Linked DNA regions of Elephas maximus indicus. Each later gene encodes a partner of the first gene's protein in a complex. Links are inferred from orthologs where the notes say so. Each region holds a gene or a part of one and is shown on either strand. Other genes may lie near its edges.

What was found.
Region 2: ABI1 (region 1) and NCKAP1 share a complex: the UniProt entries of both Homo sapiens proteins name them as parts of the WAVE2 complex. The link is inferred for Elephas maximus indicus from reciprocal best matches to the Homo sapiens genes ABI1 and NCKAP1.
Region 3: ABI1 (region 1) and WASF2 share a complex: the UniProt entries of both Homo sapiens proteins name them as parts of the WAVE2 complex. The link is inferred for Elephas maximus indicus from reciprocal best matches to the Homo sapiens genes ABI1 and WASF2.

Annotation. Positions count from the first base shown.
Region 1 is NC_064822.1:28,454,332-28,462,082, reverse strand, and holds the start of ABI1 (abl interactor 1), read right to left. Parts: upstream 3,053-7,751; 5' UTR 2,911-3,052; coding exon 2,794-2,910; intron 1-2,793. UniProt on the Homo sapiens protein: May act in negative regulation of cell growth and transformation by interacting with nonreceptor tyrosine kinases ABL1 and/or ABL2. May play a role in regulation of EGF-induced Erk pathway activation. Involved in cytoskeletal reorganization and EGFR signaling.
Region 2 is NC_064824.1:81,383,256-81,390,365, forward strand, and holds the start of NCKAP1 (nck-associated protein 1), read right to left. Parts: upstream 2,967-7,110; 5' UTR 2,843-2,966; coding exon 2,735-2,842; intron 1-2,734. Other genes in the region: nematocyst expressed protein 3-like, read left to right, coding at 2,967-3,379. UniProt on the Homo sapiens protein: Part of the WAVE complex that regulates lamellipodia formation. The WAVE complex regulates actin filament reorganization via its interaction with the Arp2/3 complex. Actin remodeling activity is regulated by RAC1.
Region 3 is NC_064821.1:67,844,435-67,851,518, forward strand, and holds the start of WASF2 (actin-binding protein WASF2), read right to left. Parts: upstream 3,087-7,084; 5' UTR 2,894-3,086; intron 1-2,893. UniProt on the Homo sapiens protein: Downstream effector molecule involved in the transmission of signals from tyrosine kinase receptors and small GTPases to the actin cytoskeleton. Promotes formation of actin filaments. Part of the WAVE complex that regulates lamellipodia formation.

The DNA.
Region 1 (7,751 bases):
AAGGGCTACTGAGGTATTAAGATAATCACTGCTGTGTGAGAATTTCATCTCCCCCACCCGTCACCCCCAGTTCAGTGGTAGAATTCCCCCATTCCATGAGCGAGACCTGGGTCTGATTCTGGCCACAGCACCTCATGCCCAGCTATCATCCATCTGTCAGTGGTGGACTGCACGCTGGTATGATGCTGGACAGGTTTCATCAGAGCCTCCAGACCGACAGGGACCACCAAGAAGAAAGGTCAGGTGACATACTTCTAAAAATCAGTCAATGGAAACCCTATGAATCGCAACGGTCCCACCCATAACCAATCATGGGGATGACACAGGCCTGAACCGCATTCATTCTGTTGTGCGTGGGGTCACCATGAGTGGGAGGCTGAGTCAACAGCAGGTAAGGACGAGATCAGAATACCTCACTGGAGGCAAGTTTAAAAAACAAACCCACTCTCATCTAGTTGATTCCGACTCATGGCAACCCCCATATGTTACAACTGAGTTTCACAGGGTTTTCTTGAGTGTAAATGCAAGGTCACCAGGCCTTTCTTCCACAGCACTACTGGATGGGTTTGAACTGCCAACCTTTTGGTTAGTGGTCAAATGCAATCTGTATGCACCCCCCAGGGACCTGAAGTCAAGTTTAGGACCACCAAAAAAAAAAAACCTTGAGGCCACTGGCGATGACTCGATACCATGGTACTAATATTTTAGAAAGTGAAAGACTATGAGAAATAACATGACATCTTAATTAGGGAAATTACCAATGAAGTTTAAAAGTACTTCAAAATTACACGACGGTGGTATGAGGGAGAAGGAAAAGGGGTCAGAGAGAAAAAAGAAAATTAAGAAACACCTTTACAGCATACAACCATCTGAAAAAGAAATAGCCAACAGACAGGTTAAAACATGTTTGCAGTTACCAACTGTTGCCAACGTGTAGCAGTTACCACACCATATACTTGTCAGATTTCCCAACATGCAAAACAAAAAGGAATCTCCCCTTTATGAAGTACTTATCTACTGACTTCTGTTAAGAAATGGCTTTTCTGGGATGGGGGCAATTTAACTTTCTAAGCTGTCTGAGTTTCAAAATCTTCAAGATCTTCAGCAAATAAGGTTCGCCTCAATTTTAAAGCTTTTCATGCTGGGTTGAATAAAAATTGCATATTTTTAATACTGACTAACTACAAAACCACTTTTCTATTTGTAAACTATATCCACATTTCTACTAGAGTTTAAAGTGATTTTTTTAAACGCTAAATACAGTTTGAAAAAACAAGTAGTAATACAGTAGATGTGGCAGGCATTCAACAACTTTACTTATCAGTAAAATTCCTAAGTAAATGCTTGAAAAAATTTGTGAAGATAAAGTCCTAGTAATGCTACTGAAGAGACAATGTTACTAATAAAAAAACTTAGAAATAATTAAAATATTTTGAAAACAGCACCTCTGCCTATAAAGTAAGAGGAAATGCATTTGCCAATACAGAAGTCATTGGTTCTTAAAAATGATAATCACATCGAAGGCATTTCTAAAAATACTTCAGTTCTGAATTGCAATACCTCTAACCTTTCAAAGCACGTTCTGTCATGCCTTACCAATAACAAGCAATTTTTGGGTGTCATTATACTGATACAAAAGTCTGCTACTTCATTTGCTTCTACAGCAAACTGTTGGTTTACACAGTTAATGAACCGCAAAGCAAACTACTACACATATAATTCACTTTCAAGCATTAAAATAAAAACAAGCTTATATCACAGATAAGGGCCCAAGAATTTTCCAATAAATTTGCAATAACAGCTATTTTACGTTCTGGTTCAAAGGTTCGGTAATCTATTTGGATTCATATTCTACACGTGCACATAGGTTGGAAACAGGGAAACTTCAGAAAACGGCGGTTACACCATTCTAAGTTACTTGTGAAGCCAAGGGTTCAAGAACTTTAGGCGGAAGAGAGAGTAAGATATTTTTCCAAGTAGTTAAGAATAATTTACGTTTTATAATAACGATACTCCTTAACAACCTCTAGACTACATTGCAGTGGAGCGGAAGTGAAAATGATGAGACCGAAAAACCCGACTTGAAAACGGACAGGCAGGCAGATTTACAAACCGTCAATTAAAGGAATTTTAAGATTAAGTTCTCTCAAAGGCCCTCCCTTACTCCACACCCGCTTCTCCTCTCCTTAGGGAGGTCTGTGTAATGTGACTCATGACAAATTTTTTTAAAAAATAAATAAGTAAACGACACACCCTCTGGGTTGAACTGACATAACTGCCCCCACCCCACCCTCCCCGAAGCACACCCCGCTTTTCCTGTCCCTTCTGCTGCTTCTCCCTTAGCCTCTTCCCTGCCCTTTCCTCTCCCTTCTCCCGGTTCCAGACCCCCCCTCCCCGGCGGAGAGGCAGCGGGGCAGCAGCTGGGTCCCCGGGACAGAAGCACGGAGAAGGGAGGGCTGCCGAAGGGCAGCGAGACTCGTGGGGTCGAGCCTGCGGGGAGGCGGGCGTCAGGGGGCCGCCCGGCTGCGGTGGCGGCGGGCTCCCGGGTCCCTCGCCCATTTTCTCTCTCCCCTTCTATCGGTTTCAACCACCAGAGCCACTTCCTGTATCACAGCCCGACTCACTCAACCCTGCCACTTGCTCTCTGGCGGCTGGGCTTGGGGTTGGGGTTGGAGCTGAGGCAGAGGCTGAGGTTAGGCAGTTCCCCACCCCGCCCAGGGGGCTGGTCACTCCGGCGGCCGGCGGCGCGTCCTCGGCCCGGGCAGCGTCTGCCCGCCCGCCCGCGCTCCTCACCTGTATGTAGTTGTTCTCACAGTAGTCCGCCACCCGGGTCAGGTTCTGGTAACTCTCTATCAGCGCCCTCTTGCCAGACGGGATCTCCTCCTCTAGTAACATCTGCAGCTCTGCCATTTTCCACCCCTCCGCATCGCTTCCTCTCGCGTTAAAGAGACAGCGGCAGCGAGGTCCGCGGAGGCTCCGAGCACCTCACAGCCCGGATACAAACCGCCTACCGCCCTCCCGCCTGGTATTGTGGGACGGTACCTCCTCCTCTTCCTCCTCGCTCTCTCCACCCCCTTCTACCCACTTCGCGCAGCCGCCTTAACCTCGTTCTCTCGCGATCGTTCCTAACTCCTAGAGAGAGGGATTTTTTTTTTTTTTTGCACGGTCTTCTGGGAATTGTAGTCTCTGATAGGCTAGACTTCTCATCTGAAGCGCAGGCGTCGGGGAGGAGTGTAACTAGGGAATCTTGACCAGAGGCGGTGATTTTAGGTCTGGAATTTCCTGACAGCTCCGGTAGATGGCGCAATAGGGTGATGCTGGAGAAGAAAACCGTCCCACCTCCCCCAAGGCTGTGGAGCTACAGAGCTTTAGCAACCGAATGTGGATAAATAAGAGCCATGGATTCCGGTTAGTATTAAAAAGGGATAAAACCAAAACCTAACCCGTTACCATCAAGTAGATTCCATCTCATAGCGACCCTATAGGACAGAGTAGAACTGCCCTATAGGGTTTCCAAGGAGCTGTTGGTGGATTCACACTATGATCTTTTCGCCTGCAGCCTTAACGCTTAGATACTGCACCACCAGGGCTCCTTAAAAATGGATAGAATATGGAAAACTCCAAATATTTATAGGTAATCCTCGACTTAAGATGTATTTGAGTTACAATGAACAGCACTTATCACCACCTTTTTTTTTTTTTGTACGTCTTATCATTAGTAAAAAGCTGCTATTCCTAAGGTTTTCACTGGCTAATGCTTTTCAGAAGTAGACTGCCGGGTCTTTCTTCCTAGTCTTAGTGTGGAAGCTCAGCTGAAACCTGTCCTCCATGGGTGACCCTGCTGGTACCTGAATACCGGTGGCATAGCTTCCAGCATCACAGGAACACTCAAGTCCCCACAGTAGGACAAGCGGACAGACGTGGAAAATTGGAAATCTTTAAAACAGAAATGGAATGGCTAAACATCAATATCCTAGGCATTAGTGAGTTGAAATGGACTGGTATTGGCCATTTTGAATCGGACAATCATATACTCTACTATGCTGGGAATGACAGCTTGACGAGGAATGGTGTTGCATTCATTGTCAAAAGAAACGTTTCAAGATCCTGAAGCACAGCGCTGTCAGTGATAGGATAATATCCATACGCCTACAAGGAAGACCAGTTAATGCGACTATTATTCAAATTTACGCACCAACCACTAGGGTCAAAGATGAAGAAACAAAAGATTTTTATCAGCTGCTACAGTCTGAAATTGATTGAACATGCAATCAAGATGCATTGATTATTACTGGCGATTGGAATACGAAAGTTGGAAACAAAGAAGAAGGATCAGTAGTTGGAAAATATGGCCTTAGTGACAGAAACAATGCCGGAGATTGAATAATAGAATTTTGCAAGACCAACAAATTCTTCATTGCATATACCTTCTTTCACCAACATAAACAGCGACTATACACATGGACCTCACCAGATGGAGTACACAGGAATCAAATTGACTACATCTGTGGAAAGAGATGATGGAAAAGCTCAATATCATCAGTCAGAACAAGGCCAGGGGCCAACTGTGGAACAGATTATCAACTGCTCATATGCAAGTTCAAGCTGAAACTGAAGAAAATCAGAGCAAGTCCACGAGAGCCAAAATATGACATTATGTACATCCCACCTGAATTTAGAGACCATCTCAAGAATAGATTTGATGAACTGAACACTAGTGACTGAAGACCAGACAAGTTGTGGAATGACATCAAGGACATACATGAAGAAAGCAAGAGGTCACTGAAAAGACAGGAAAGAAAGAAAAGACCAAGATGGATGTCAGAGGAGATTCTGAAACTTGCTCTCGAACGTCGACCAGCTAAAGCAAAAGGAAGAATCGATGAAGTAAAAGAACTGAACAGAAGATTTCAAAGCAAGTCTTGAGAAGACAAAGTAAAGTATTATGATGACATGTGCAAAGAGCTGGAGATGGAAAACCAAAAGGAGAGAACACACTCGGCGTTTCTCAAGCTGAAAGAACTGAAGGAAAAATTCAAGCCTCGAGTTGCAATACTGAAGGATTCTATGGGGAAAATATTAAACAATGCAGGAAGGATCAAAAGAAGATGGAAGGAATACACAGAGTCATTATACCAAAAAGAATTAGTTGATGTTCAACTACTTCAAGAGGTGGCATATGATCAGGAACCAATGATACTGAAGGAAGAAGTCCAAGCTGCTCTGAAGGCATCGGCGAAAAACAAGGCTCCAGGAATTGAGGGAATATCAACTGAGATGTTTCAACAAACGGTTCTAGCTCTGGAGGTGCTCACTCATCTGTGCCAAGAAATATGGAAGGCAGCTTCCTGGCCAACTGACTGGAAGAGATCCATATTTATGCCTATTCCCAAGAAAGGTGATCCAACCGAATGTCAAAATTATAGAACCTCAAAAACAAAACATGCATGGTTTTTAATGCTGTCCCGTCCTAATTTCTTTTCTCTGACTCCTTTGCATGTCTCACCCTACTGTTTTTGTTTCTGTAGGTTGTGTAAAATCATTTTTTTTTTTTCCTGATTATCAGCTGCTTTGGAAGAGTTTCAAAAAGCCCTATATTTTAACCTTTTAGTTTCACTGAAAATATGAAATGCTTCTGGTATAATGGGTTATGAAAAGTGTTGTCCAAAGGCCAAAAAGGAAGTTAACTTAAAGATTGTTTGAAAATCCATTTTCATAGCTCTCCACGTAGCCATTTAGAATCACAAGGATAGAAATGGTAACACCACACAATCAAATAAAAAGATCAATCCGTCAAAAGTATTTATTGAATATTACCTCTACTTGTTGATGTTGGGTGCCATTGAATCGATTCCAACTCATGGTGACCCTGTGTGACAGAGAACTGCCCCACAGAGTTTTCTTGGCTGTAATCTTTAGGGGTGCAAATCGCCAGGTCTTTCTCCCACGGAGACGTTGGGCAGGTTCAAATCATGAACCTTTCAGTTAGCTGCTGAGTGCTTAACCATTGCACAGCCAGGGCTCCTTATTACTTATACTAGGGGCCATAACATATTCAACCTTCCCAAGGAGGAACTTAAGTCTGCTACATAAAAGAAATAACTGCCCCTAGCCACTACCATTATATTAAACTGAGAAAAACACCATAGTCCCTGTCAAGGATTCTAAGGTCCATCAATCAATGAATGGGTTACTTTTACTAATTGTCTGGAATAGGCACAACGGTCTTGCTTCAAGTTTTATCATTAATCCAATTACATTCAACAGGATTTAATTCAAGTAGTGGAAATGTGTTATATTCTTGATCTTGGTCTCTACGTGAGCCTGCATATATCCATATATTTATACATTTCAACAACATTGGGGGAATGATTAAGGAGATGATACTGAATTACTATTACTCAAAGTACTATCAGACTTGTTTAATGCTCACAACAACTCTGAGAGATAAACAAGGTAAATATTATTTTATTTCTTTACCAGGTAAGGAAACTTAAGCTTAGAGATTTAGCTAAGGGCACTGAAAATAGAAATAGTAAGCAGCAGTCAAGAAATCAAATGATGTATTGCATTGGGCAAATCTGCTGCAAAAGACTTCTTTAAAGTGTTAAAAAGCAAAAATGTCACTTCGAGAACGAATGTCATGGATTGAATTATGTCCCCCAAAAAATGTGTGTATCAACTTGGTTAGGCCATGATTCCCAGTATTGTGTGGTTGTCCTCCGGTTTGTGATTATAACCTTAGGTTGAGAGGATTAGGGTGGGATTGTAACACCACCTTTACTCAGTCACCTCCCTGATCCAAGGTAAAGAGAGTTCCCCTGGGGTGTGGCCTGCACCACCTTTTATCTCTCAAGAGATAAAAGGAAAGGGAAGCATCAGAGAGCTGGGGACTTTATACTACCAAGAAAGCAGCACCAGGAGCAGATCATGTCCTTTGGACCCGGGATCCCTGTGCCTGAGAAGCTCCTCAACCATGGGATGATTGAGGACAAGGACCTTCCTCCAGAGCCAAAAAAGAGACAAACCTTCCCCTGGAGCTGACACCCTGAATTTGGACTTGTAACCTACTAGACTGTGAGAGAATAAATTACTCTTTGCTAAAGCCATCCACTTGTGGTATTTCAGTTATACCAACACTAGATAACTAAGACAACTAAGGTGTAACTAAGCCTAGCCATAGTATTTTCAATGACCTTATATGCATGCAAAAACTGGACAATGAATAAGGAAGACGGAAGATGAACTGATGCCTTTGAATTATAATGTTGGCAAAGAATATTGAATATACTATGGACTGCCAGAATAACAAACAAATCAGTCTTGGAAGTACAGCGAGAATGCTCCTCGGAAGTGAGGATGCCAAGACTTTGTCTCACGTACTTCGGACATGTTATCAGGAGGGACCACTCCCTGGAGAAGGACTTCATGCTTAGTAGAAAACTCACTGCCGTGGAGCCAATTCCGACTCATAGCCACCCTACAGGACAGAATAGAACCGCCTCATAAGGCTTCCAAGCCTGTAAATCTTTGCAGAAGTAGGCTGCCACGTCTTTGTCCCACAGAGCGAGGGGTGGGTTCAAACTGCTCACCTTTGGGTTAGCAGCCCACCGCTAACAGAGCTAGTAGAAGGTCAGCAAAAAAGAGAGAGACCCTTAATGACATGGATTGACACAGCAGCTACAACAATGGGCTCAAACATAGCAACAACTGTGAGGATAGCAGTGTTTCCTTCTGCTGCACATAGGGTC
Region 2 (7,110 bases), on another chromosome or scaffold:
GGAGTGGGTGGTAGATTCCAACTGCCGACCTTTTAGTTAGCAGCCAAGCTCTTAACAACTGTACCACCAGGGCTCCATGAGCATTAAAGCATAATATTATTGTCTAGAGTAACTTATAAAAGTGTTATTAGACTTAGGTCACTGAAGTTTGCATTTTTCATTGTACATGCTCGCTAAAATATTTCCAGAGTAGACTTTCAATTGGAGTGAAGATTAATCAAATCTGATAGACAATCTAATGTACATATGCATTAATAAAAGAATGATAACTGAATGGCATGTATATAGGGTGGTAGTTTTTTGAAGACTATAAAGGTTGAGATTGAAAAGATTATGTGGTTTATACTGTCATAAGAATGCAGACAGCATGAACACATGGTGGACACATATTACTGTTTTTGGCAAGATTTTGGAACAAATGTTTCAATCCCTAGCCAGCTGAGAAGATAAGCTGGCCTCACAGGCAACTCTAGAGGCTAAAAGATCCAAAATTTCTTTAATGCATTTATATGCAGTTACACAAGGAGAGCAAACCAAAATTATTATTATTGAAATGTGGGCAAGGTATATATATTTTTTGTATTCATTCATTTCAACAAGGCCTTAAAGGCCTCAGGTACCAAGTGAGACCCTAAATACCAGTAGTTTAGGGATGAATAACACTGTCCCTGCCCCAAGGGAACTCACGTTAAGGCAAGGTAGATAAAATATTTCCCAATGAACTACAAATATGTGCTAAGTGCTGAAATACAACATTTCAAAAACTCAAGGTATTTGACACATGGATATAATACTGATCACATTCAACTTATTTTAAATCTTGCTACTTCAAGAGCCTAAAGTTTCTCAAAACAGGAAGTAAAAAAAAAAAAACTGCTTTTGAGAAAAGACAGTGAACCGTCATCTGTTCAGATCTTTAGATTTTAGTTTACCCTTACCTAATTTACTATGGTAGAATATGGTAAGTTTGCTTACATTTATAATATAAAAATGTTTAATGTATGCTTTAAAAAAAAGTGTTTTGCCCAAATACCAAATCACTTTTGATGTTACTCTCACTTCCTCTTCTGGAAACCATCATAACCATTTCCTTTAACCACAATACCACAGGTCTAGTAACTTTACTGAAGTTTGAATTGCTAGTTGTTTGGACAAAGTTTGTATTGGAACCAATTTCTGAGTTGTCTAAAAAGTATAATCTCACAAAACATTCAAGTCAATGCAACCTACAAGTAATACTATCTAAAATTAAATTATTCCTAACGTACATAAATTTATAACCAAGGCATCTTAGTAAATGCAAAGGGCTTCTTTGTAATGACACTATGCCCCAGTCACATAAAATGTAACAAACCGCACAGGTAGACTGCACTGGGTGCAGAGTCAATCCTTGCATCCTTGTGAGCAACTGGAGGACCATAGCAATCCTTATCCAAAATTTATCGTAACTACAGCAAAACCATCTTTCCCTTTAGAAGTAGACTATCTACCTCAAATTTTATACCTGAACCCCATGATGTGAATTTTGAAAAACACAATCTTTCTTCAGCAGCCAAGACTCACAAAAGCTGCGATTCTACTGCTACGATTAAATAAAATATTCGTGGTACTTTAAAAAGCCAGCAAAAATAACCATGAAGATAATGACACCAAATACACACTGGAAACTCAAAGGCTCTAGACTGCAAACAAAATTGCTCTTTAATTTTCTCTTAACCACATTCATTAAAAATTACCAACCTTACCTTTAAAAAGGAAAAGGATTTTTGTTGTTTTCTCCTAAGATAAATGAATGCAATATTTGCTCTACCATTACATCTATTTTTCTTAACTACAATTCAACCTCCCATTTCTTAAATTTGCTGAAGACATGTAAAGATTTTCAATGAGTCTATTAGCTACTCAAATTATCTGATTATGCTATAAATCTGCAGAATTCACAACATATTTACATTTTTATTTGGTATAGACACCACAGTCTAAGAAATGGTGTTTTAACATTATCAGATAGGGCTGGAAAAATTCAGATGAGGAGGAGTAAAGGGGGTAGGGAAAGAAGGTTGTTATTCCTGTTCTAGTGACTCACAGCCCAGAAGTATTTGAGAAGAAAATTGGTTCCACCCTCACTTCCCCCTCCTCTCCACCTTCAAAAAATGAAATAATCCCAAATCGTCAACAGCCTCTCAAATGGTTTTTATTCAGCAATCTCAAATAAACTGGCAGAGCAGAAAGAATGTAGGTTAATGTTGATTAGCCATTCATTCCTTTCCCACATTCCCACACACCAAGAAATTGAGAGGTGGGGTGTAATCCCCGTTCACTGCTATCCCCGCCAGATTTCTAGGGTTTCGTCTGTTTTGGAACACCCAACTTTTCCTATTCTCCGAAAATCTAGCCCACCCATCTCTCTCCCGTTCCTGACGACCCCGTCCAGGGGGCGGAGGCGCGAAGAAGGGGGCAACGGCGCCCCCACCCCACGCCAGGGCCGGCGCCGGATCCTGCCGCTGGGAAGTGGGAAATGGCTTCTCCCTGCCTCCGGTCGGCCCGCGAGCCACCGGGAGAGGCTCCCGGAACTCCCCGTTAGGCCGCGGCACATCCCGGCGACTCCGGGCCGGGCCTGACGCGGCGATGCTGGATTTCTGCCCGCGGCGCCGCCCCGCACCCTCCAGGCCTCCCCTACCCTCCATCCCTCCTCGGCCCTCCGCCCGCCGCGGCCTCGCCGGCCCGTGCGCACCTTCTTGATATTGTAGAGGCGGGTGAGCATGCCGACCCCCCGGTCGTTGAGAATGGTGAGCTTCTCCGCCAGCTTCTGCTGACTGGGCTGCAGCACGGAGCGCGACATGGTGGTGGTGCCGCCGCCGCCGCCGGCCTGCTGGCGCCCGGTCACTGGCCCGCGGCCTCCGCAGTAACCTCTCTTCGGCCTCCTCCTCTCCCGCCCGCGACCTCCGCCTCAGGGAAGCGCGTCCATGGCCCTAGCGTCCCAACCCCGCGCCGGTGACAGAGCGAGCCGCGGCGGACGCCTTGGGGTCCCTTCCCCCGCAGCAGCCCGCGCCCCGGCAGCCTCCTGCCTTCCGCCCGCCGCCCTTCCGTCCCCACCCCCGCCGCCTTCTGTCCCAGCCCCCACCAAGCCGCCTTCCCCGACTCCTCCACTAGGTGTGGCGGCGGCAGCGGCGTCTCCGGCGGCTGAGAACGAGGCGGCTTCCCGCAGCCCCGGACGGGCGCTCGGTCACCTGATCGGCCGCGCCGGCGCCCCCGCGAGGACGGTCGGAGAACTGCGCCAGGCAGGCCCTTGCCTACCCCGACAGGCTTCCAAGTCGCAGCCACTCTGGACCCGGACCCCACCTGAACCCGACTCGCTGCCTGCGCCTATTCCCCAAATGTGAGTCCTAAGTGGGGACCGAGTAGGGTCACGTTTCTCTGTGCGTCCCGCCGCTTCCAGCACCCCCCAGCCTTCAAGTTCCTAAAGTGGCAACATAAGTTGTCTTTCTGCGCCATCGTCCTAAAGAAACCAGAAGAAGTAGGGGGGCGGGGAGGAGTCTCAGATGAGCTTCTCCTGAGAGTGGGCTGGTGGCTCCAGGCGCCTTTCCTCCCACTGCTTGACAGACGCTCACCGCAGAACACAGCAGATGTTGTGTTCCGCGAAGCGGCTTCGCCTCTCCCAAGCTCCCCATTCCATCCTAACTCACCCCCACACCACCCCTGCCCCAAGCAGTTTATGCGGGAGGAGATCGGAAGTGAGGACAACTCAAGTTCCTGAGATAATCAGAATCTGGAATTTGTCCACGAGAAACACGTGGGTGGCACAGAATAAATGTTTATTCAGTGGGTGAAGGAACGCTCCCATTTTTTCCTGGCCTCCACCCTAAGTCCGACCGCTTTTCAGAAACTTTCTACTTTTCCATCTCTCTGTTTCTTTTTTTTTCCTGGCTAGTTTCCTAGCCACACTTCAAGGCTACTATTCCCTCTGGTCAAATATATCAGATACGGTTTCAAAAGTGAACAAATCAAGGACTTATGTAATTGGCTGGGATGAGGATTCAAGCCTAGAGAAGTAGAGCCACTTTGATGATTTTGGCCTTACTGCCCTTCCATGTATCAATCTTTTGCATTATTTCATTAGTTTTAAGCCAATGACAAAATATTCTGCTAACTTCAATAAAAGAGTAAATAAGTTATCATTGGGTTTATCAAAACACTTTATGAAAAGGAAATTGTGATGAATAGCTTCTTAAACTTTTTTTTAAAGCTAATGTATCTACTATACCTATGGAAATCCTGATTTTAATACCCCCAACAAATGAAAGTGAGTAGACTAAATGGACTTTTTTTGTTGTTAGGAACCATGAGTCGGTTCGGAGACTCATAGGACTTGTTTTCAAGGGCATTAAAAAGAGCCCTGTACCCACCAAGTACAAAAATACATAATGGTACCTACCAGTGTGCTTGGAATTCTATACTTAGAGCTGCATTTTTGTACCTGAAGAGTTTTGTTTTTTTTTAAAACAAACGTCTCAGAGATGCCACCTAATGCACTGTTATAGGTCATTAACGTGTTGTTCTTGTTAGGTGTTCCTCCAGTGGATTCTGATTCACAGAGACCCTATGTACAATAGAAGGAAACACTGCATTTGAACCACCCTCACAATCGTTGCTATGTTTGAGCCCATTGTTGCAGCCACTGTGTCAGTCCATCTCTTGAGGGTCTTCCTCTTTTTTGCTGACCCTCTACCAAGTATGATGTCTTCTCCATAAACTGGTCCCTTCTAATAACATGTGCAAAGTACAGGAGACAAAGTCTCACCATCCTCACTTCTAAGAAACATCCTGACTGTACTTCTACCAAGACAGATTTGTTTGTTCTTCTGGCAGTAGATTCAATATTTCTTGCCAACACCATAATTCAAAGGCATCAGTTCTCCTTCAGTCCTCCTTATTCATTGTCCAGCTTTTCCAGGCATATAAGGTGATTGAAAATACCATGGGCTGGGTCAGGTACACCTTAGTCCTCAAAGTAACATCTTTGCTTTTTAACACTTTAAAGAGATGTTTTGCAGCAAACTGGTCCAATCCAATGCCCAATGTTTGATTTCTTGACTGCTGCTTCCATGGGTGTTGATTGTAGATCCAAGTAAAATGAAGCCCTTGACAACTTCAGTCTTTTTGCAGCTTATCATGATGTTGCTCATTGGTCCAGTTATGAGGATTTTTGTTTTATGTTGAGGTGTGATTCATACTGAGAACTGTAGTCTTTGATCTTCATCAGTTAAGTGCTTCAGGTCTTCTGCGCTTTAAGCAAGCAATATTGTGTCATCTGCATATCGCAGATTGTTCATGACTCTTCCTCCAACCCTGATGCCTCGTTCTTCATATAGCCAGTTTCTCAGATTATTTGCTCAGTATTCAGACTGAATAAGTATTAATGTGCTGGGATATTTAAATTATCTGGTTTCTTTCAACCTGATATTTAAAGTTTTAATTTAGAGAAAAGGCAATGATCTGTAGCCTGGGATAACAAGAACAGACCTTGGAAGGGGATGTTGCAGTGAGGGGTTTGGAGCTGCCAGATAAAACTGAAAGGTGCCAAATGTTGTGGAAAGACTGTGCTCTTTTATAGCACCACAAACAGTTTTAGTAGAGACATAATAATGGAGTTCCACCAGTGCAAAGTTATCTAATTTTCTAGTTTTTTCAAAGTACTGTACAGAGAGAACATGAAAATGGTACTGCATCCAAGGCACAATTAGTCTCTATTCACCTGGAGCAACAGAGAAGGAAGGTCAGGAATAGGAGGAAGAAATGGCTGTGTGGATAATTGCCTCTGTGAACAACTGCTTCCTCTGCTATGAGACCAGGACTGGATGGTGCCCAGCTACCATTACTGAACATTTTGATTAAAGAGTCTATAGAAGATTCCAGAAACCCTGGTGGCGTAGCAGTTAAGAGTTACGGCTGCTAACCAAAAGGTAGGCAGTTCAAATCTACCAGGAGCTCCTTGGAAACCCTATGGGGCAGTTCTACTCTGTCCTGTAGGGTCGCTATGAGTTGAAATCGACTCAATGGCAATGGGTTTACAGGTGTAGAAGAATCCTGGCCAAAAGAGGCAAAATGCAGAACAAAATTTTAGATTATCATGAAATCCAGGCTTTCTGGAGCCATGGAGGCTGGATGAACCCCTGAAACTATTGCCCTGAGATAATCTCTAAACCTTAAACCAAAAATATTCCCTGAAGTCTTCTTAAATCAAACAATGGTTTAGCTTAACTAATAAAGAATGTCTGCCTTGAGCATTATGCTCTTTTAGATCTATGTATATGGGATCAAACTGACAACAGCATCTTGAAAAGATTAGTTAGGAACCTTAAGGGGCAGTGAGTTTAAGTTAATGAGGGAGGAACAACTCAGAAAAGGAGAGTGAGAATGGTCACACAAGTCAAAGAATGTAATTAATGTCACTGAATTGTACATGTAGAAACTGTTGAATTGGTGTATGTTTCACTGTGCATATTCTCAACCAAAAAATAATTAAAAAAGAAGAAAATGGGAGGAACCAGTACCATGGTGTCTGGCTGCAAGATTGTCCTGTCCATCCTCAACAGCAGCCTGGCCAATTTAGCGGTGGAGTGCCTCCAGATGCTGGACTCTGGAGCTGATTATCTGCACCTGGATGTAACAGACAGGCATTTTGTTACCAGCACCACCTTTGGTCACCCTGTGGTAGAAAGCCTCCAAAAGCAGCTAGGCCAGGACCCTTTCTTTAACGTACACATGATGGTGTCCAGGCCTGAACAGTGGGTAAAGCCAGTGGCTATAGCAGGGTCCAATCAATATACCTTTCATCCTGAGGCCACTGAGAACCCAGGAGCTTTGATTAAAGACATTCGGGAGCATGATATGAAGTGTTGGCCTTGCCATCAAACCAGGAACTACAGTTGAGTATTTGGCACCATGGCCTACTCAGTTAGATATGGCTTTGGTTATGACAGTGGAACCTGAGTTTGGAGGGCAGAAATTCTTGGACAACATGATGTCAAAGTTACACTAGTTGAGGACCCAGCTCCCATCTTTGTATAATCAAATGCCTCTCCGGTTCTTGTCCTGTCCTAATAGCCA
Region 3 (7,084 bases), on another chromosome or scaffold:
TAGTGCTTAACCACTACGCCACCAGAGTTTCCATGATATAATCAAATGAAACAAAAATGTCTTCTATGTAATATCGTTTTTAAAACCCATGACTTTGAAATTAGATTGGTTATACAATATTGTTCCCTGTAATTATTCTTGTCATCATACAAGTTTTACCCACAGAGGTCCACAATCCCTTAACTTCAATTCCAAAATCCAAAAGGCTGTGAAAAACAAGTTTATTATTATTCATTTGGATACAAAACCTGACATGAACTGACATGAGGTTATTCATAGTATTCATTTATCCCAGTTGGTGTGAACATTCAGACATTTTGCTATAGAAATAGTTATGTGTTTGATTACGAGGTGCTGACCCCAACCTCTCTGGGAGTGTTACATAATATCCGGTACATGTACCATATTTCTTTTCTAAAATCCAGAATCACATCTGGCCCCAAGAATTATTTTGCCCCCAAAGATTCTGAATACGGTACTGTGGACTGGTATACTAATTAATGCTATGTCTTCTCATACATAAAATATAATACTGAGAATGAATGTAGATCTTCACATGTGATAAATTCAATGTCTTAACAACTATCACGCACACATACAATCCTAGAAATTAAAGCATTAAAAGGACTTTTAACAAATGTCAAAAACCCAAACACATCAATTATGTTGTATTTCAAGTGATGGTGACATTTGCATCATCCAATATCTAGATCAATTCCTCTTAGATTGAAATCCACTTAAATCGCAGTTAAAATATTGGCAAAGACTGAATTGGTAATTATGCTAAGAAAAATTATGTTGAGAAAAAGAACCATTCACTGATAAATAGCTTGCTCGGTAAAATGTTTTGGTTTTTAAAAAAAAATATCTCAGAAGGTTTAAGATTTAAAATTATTTCATTCTAGAGTAGAAGTTCTGAAAGTTGATTACAATTGACTTTTTCTGTGAAAGGAGAGCCTCTGACAGGGACAGCTCTTAAAGGATGTTTGAATGGGAAGAAGAGTTTCACAGTTCCTTCCTTCCTTCCTTCCTCCTTTAGTTGCTGCTTTTCTGGTTTTAGAATTTCAAACAAAGAAAATACATATTGGCTCCATTGCTAAGAAACGCCTTCTTTCTCAGCAACTTCCTCTTCCAATTTTCTTCCCTACCATTAACATAAGAGAACAATACCCAAGGTCAGTCCCACCATTTTGATTAATCAAAAGTGCCAAGGTTTGGAAAAAGTATGGGTTGTAATTTATAGTACCCAACTACCTCCTCCTCAGGTCCACAATCTTTGCTCATCTAGAAGTCAGATACAGAGAGCACAAAGAAATAGTACATTCAGGGACAAACTGTTGAACCTTTCACCCCTAGAATCCAAAGAAATCCTAAACTAAACTTTCTCCCAGCCCAAGAAAACGTGGCCTTCTTAGGGAGGAGAGCAAGTTTACTGGGCTGGCACCACCCCGAACCAAGCGTCAAGTTAATAGCTGGTTGAACTTTCTTCCATAGGCCACCTGGCCAGGATTCGAGCTGAGCGGTCTGAAGTTCTGACACACTTCAAAGTGACTTTTACAATTTAGAAATAGTCCTTTCCAACTCAGAGAGGGAACAAAGGGGACAGACTTATAATTAACCATGCAGGGATCTTGACCCAGCCTGTCTCCATGCAAGAAATTAAGTATCTGGGGCCAGCCCCCCTCTCCCACTGGTATCTTCTAAATAAGATATAATAAATAGGAGCCTTGCTGGCACAGTGGTTAAAGCACTCGGCTGCTAACCGAAAGGTCAGTGGTTCAAACTCACCAGCTGCTCTGCGGGAAAAAGATGTGGAGCTGGCAGTCTGCTTCTGTAAAGATTTGCAGCCTTGGAAACCTACTCTGTCCTATAAGGTCGCTATGAGTCGAAATCGACTAAACGGCAATGATTTGGTTTTGCTTTAGTTTATCTTTTAAATGGACAATGACTTCCTCTTGCCCAGTAATTATCAAAGGAAACACCTTAATACTGGTGAGTGCTGCACCTTACTGTGTGACCTTGGGCAAGTTACTTAACTCCTCTGAAACTTAGTTTTCTCATGTGTAAATTCTCAACGGTTTCTGTAAAAATTAAATTAGTACAAAGCAGGAGCACCATAAATGTTCTTCTCCCTCCTCCTAACCCTCCTGACTGCTGGGCCTAAGTTCCAGTCACAGCCCTGAGAGGCTCCAAGGATTCCTTCCTCTTCTCTGATTCTATGGGCAACTGTATAAAACTTCCTCATCTCCAAGGCTCTAGGATTCTCAGAGTACCAGGACAACCCGACCCCACCCATCATGGTCTAGGAAACACCCAGCACCTTTAGCCAACTCTTCTCCTCTTTACTCTTGCAGACCACTCTGAACACACACACACACACACACACACACAGAGCCCTCCGTGTTCGCCTTGCCAGTCCACAATTTAGCAGGCCAAGAGCTTAAAAAGCACGTCAACTCCTGAGCTGTCCAGAAAGTGGGAACAGTGGCTCAGCTGGGAAAGAACTTGCCCAAAATCTCAAACAGCTGGGATCCAACTCATGTATATCTGTCCATAAAGCCTTCATTTTATAAATGGGAAAAGTGAGGCCCAGTGAAGGAAGTGACTTGCCCAAGGTCACATAGCGAGCTGGTGGCGGAACCAGGGCAAGCTGGGGCACTCTCGCAGCCTCACAGAACTATAGGCCCCTCCAAGTCTCCGGGTCACCCCTTGGGGTAGGAACGCCACCTCGCGCTGACGGCTCGCCGGGCCTCTGCCCGTCCGCGATAGGAGACGCTGCACCCACTCCCCGCGGACCCTGCGCGACTCGGGAGGGGCGGCCCGGCCCGGCCCGGCCCGGCCTAGCGCCTCACGGCGGGGCGGCGGGGCCCGCCCGAGGGGACTTGTTGCTCACCTGGCCTCGCGCGGGCGCCCTCAGCGACAGAAGGGCCGGCGGGCCGGCCGGCCGGCCACCTCGTCTCAGCAAGGGGTCTGCTCCCGCGGGCCGCCTCACGGCCTGCCACCCCAGCCGGACCCCCCTCAGCACACAACGCCCCCAGCCGCGCTCGGCCGGCCCGCATCCGCCATTACGCGATTCCCCACCCTGAGACGCAGCCACACCCCGCCGACAGTTCTGATTGGCTCTCTGCCCCACCCGCCCGGGGCTTCGGAGTATTCCATTGGCTCGAGCGGAATGCCAGTTAAATAACTACGCAAAAGACGTATTCAAGGATACTGTCCCGGGAGCTCCACCCGAGCGATTTCCGCAAACGGAGTAAACAGCAGGGGGCAAACCAAGTGAAGTGGGAGTGGAAATTAAGGTAAATCAACTCCTAAATTTAAGGTAGGAAAAGTCCAAATAAGAAAGTGTAAAAACTCATACAAGTGTATTAAAAGACAAATTATTCTTTTAAAGTTCAAAGAATCAGTATTTTTGTTGGAAGGAAGGGGCCAGTCCCATAAACTTTCTGTGGACACCCCTCAAGTTGCAGATAGTTTTGTCCCACCCAGCTCGATCTCAGACCCGGCCGAAAGTAGGGTGGGGGATGAGAGAGAGAGTCATAAGGCTTCATCCTGGCCCTGAAGAATCCACCTGGGGCGAGATCCGGGGTCCTGGGACGGGGAGCAGGTTCTGATAATTGAGTGAAGTGAGCTGGACCCTAGTTCAGCCGCTACTTGACTCTGCGACCTCAGACAACAACCTGAATCTCTCTCTCAGTTATACCGCCTCACCCTGCTTCACGTCCTGGGTCGTTTGAGAATAGGTGCATGAGTGCATCTTGTTGATTACAAAAGACTGCGACTGGACAACTGCGCAACAAGTTCCCAAATTAGCAAAGCTAATCTCATTTTGATTTTCCAGAACAACCCCGTGAGGCAGAAGAGAAAACTGAGTCTCTGATGTTCGGTGACTTGCCCAGAGTTGCTCAGGGAATTTGAAACAGCTATGGAAACCCTGGTGGCGTAGTGGTTAAGAGCTACGGCTGCTAACCAAAGGGTCGGCAGTTTGAATCCACCAGGCGCTCCTTGGAAACTCTATGGGGCAGTTCTACTCTGTCCTGTAGGGTCGCTATGAGTTGGAATCGACTCAACGCCACTGGGTTTGGTTTTTTTTTTTTTGGTCTGGGGCTCAAACCTGTGTCTTTTGGCTTCCATTTCTGTATTCCTCCCTTCCAGGCCAGGTGTCACTCGAGGAAGACTTCCCCTGCATCTCCTTAGCATTCTCGGAAAAGCCCTGAAGGTTCTAGGATAGCATCCCACATCTCTGGTCATTATAGATTTGGGTACAGGCCAACCCTCAGCTACTTGTCGATCACTAAGGTTCCTGGGAAAAAAAGTGACCCTTGGTGTGTGTCTGAGCTGTTTCTGGGGCCCTAGGAATCAGGAGGTAAGGGATAGCAGGTGGGTCAGCAGCCCAGGCAGAATCCCAATGAGGACACAGAAGCTCCAGGAGGGGCAGTGATGCCATTGTGGGCCTTCAGCAGGGCAGCCTCCATGCCAAGACTGAAATCCAGGTCTCACCCTTCTCAGAACAGGGCTCTTTTCACCACAAGATTGTTTTTCCCAGAAGGGCTGCCTTGGCTGTAAATCTTAGCCTTTTTCCTTCTCTGGAAAGAAAAGAGGCCAAAAAGGGAGTAGGAGGTGGAGCAGCCTAAAATTTTAGAAGGGCAGAGCCTTCCTACTGGGTGTGGTACCAACAAGGGCCTCAGTGCCAGCCGAGTCTCTAACCTCTTGGCTCAAATTGACAGCCAGCAACTATTTCAATCCTGACTGTGACCTTAGGGTGCTGGGAGGCAGCAGGTGCTATGCAGAAGGTAGTGGCTTGCTTTGGGGTCAGACTGATTTGTGATGGAATCCAAGCTCTGCCATTCTTTAGCTCTTTAACCCTCACTTAGGAGCCCTGGTGACATGGTGGTTAAGTGCTTGGCTCCTAACCGAAAGGTCGGAGGTTCGAACCCACCAGCCGCTTTGTGGAAGAAAAATACGGCAGTCTACTTTCATAAAGATTTCAGCCTTGGAAGCTCTATGGGGAAGTTCTACTCTGTCCTGTAGAGTCACTATGAATTAGAATCAACTTGACAGCAATGGGTTTGATTTTTTTTTTGGATCAGCCCTCACCTACCTCTTCGCTAAAATGGGACAATAGGGCAGTTCAGAGGATTAAATGAGTTAATTATGGAATTAATGAGCAATGTGTGTAACGTGCCCAGTAGCCATTCATTCGTTACATAGAATATGCCCTGGTTATCTAGTGCTGCTCTAACAGAAATACCACAAGTGAATGGCTTTAACAAAGAGAAATTTATTATCTCACAGTCTAGTAGGCGTCAGCTTCAGGGGAAGGCTTTCTCTCTCCGTCAGCTCTGGAGGAAGGTCCTTGTCATCAATCTTCCCGTTTGAGAAGTTTCTCACTCAGGAACCTCAGGTCCAAAGGATGCACTAGTCTCCTGGCTCTTGTTTCTTGGTGGTTTGAGGTCCCCACGACTCTCTGCTTGTTTCTCACTTTTATATTGCAAGATTGGCTCAAGACACAGTCTAATCTTGTAGATCTCATCAATATAACTGCCACTAATCCATCTTGTTAACATCATAGTGATAGGATTTACAACACACAGGAAAATTACATCAGGTGACAAAATGGTGGACAATCACACAGTAGCGGGAATCATGGTCTAGCCAAATTGATACACATATTTTCGGGGGACACAACTCAGTCCATGACAGAATATTATTAAGCACCCACCACATGCAGGGCAGCCTGCCAATACTGCAGCTACAATGGTGAGTGAAACAGACTTAGACCCTCATGGAGCTTAGAGTCTGGTGAGGAAGAAAGCCATTGAACAAATGATTACACAAATCAAAACACAGGAATCAGAATATAGTTAGAAACTATGATAAGGAACAAGAAGGCAAAGTACAGTGTGTTTATGAGTGTGAATATCAGGGGATAGGGTGGAGTCAGAGGAGGTTTCTCTAAAGAGGTGATGTCTTGGGAGAGTTGGATGAATAGGACTGAACCAGGCAGCAGGGAGTTGGGGAGAAGTGTTACGGGCCAACAGAAAAGGTATCTAGACCAATATGGTTGATGGCGCTGGGGAGGGAGGCAGAGCGTACAGGCCTTATGGGCTACCATGGGAGTATTGTGGTTATTGCTGAAAGAATGAGGGTGTTACAGGGGTGGGAACCTGGCCTTGAAAGTGTGACTGTTCTCCAAGGGCATCTGTACCTATAGTCCCTGGGAGAATACAAGCTGTGAGGCAGGGTTTGAATCTTGGCTCTGCCACCTCTGAGTGTATGAAGCACCTCTCTTTGCCTCAGCTGTATTTCTGAGAAATGAGGATAATGATAGAGGGCCAAAATGTTGGGATGAAAATTCAATGCAAAATGTGTATAAGGTGTCCTGGCCCATGGAAGGCCCTCTGTAAATGGTGCTTGGTCTTCCCAGCACGGACAGAGGTGAGCCTGAGGCAGGATATCCAGCGGATGTGTTGGGAGAGAGCTGTTGCAGGCAGCTAGGCACTTGGTGAGTTGTCACATGATCCTAATTGTCATAGGAAACTTTGGAGCCAAGTAAGTCTTCTAGCTGTGTGACCTTGGGCAGGTGGCATAGTCTATCTGAGCCACAGTTGTCTTATCCATAAGATGGGGATTATAATTATTTCTATTTCCCAGAGATACGAAGATTAAATAAGATAACAAATGTGAAGCTTTTAGCATGGGCACATAGTAAGCATTTATTGAATGTTAACTCTAATAATATAGTAATTATTAATAATAGCAGTTACTACTTGCACTGGAAATTAAGACTCTGGAGCTTTGCTTGAAGGTTGTCTGACAACAGGAGTCTTGGCTTCTCCTTTTAGGCAATGAAGGTACACAAGTTATTTTCAGATGGGGTGATGTTTTGTACATAAATGGTAATATTAAGCACTCTCATTTATTGAGTATTTACTATGTGCCAGGCATATGCTAAGTGCTTTACATGCATTAACTCATTTACTTCTCACAACAATTCTATAAACTAGGTCCTGTTACTATCATCCCCATTTTACAAACAAGGTAAAGGAGGCACAGAGAAATTAAGTGACTCTCCTGAAGTGGC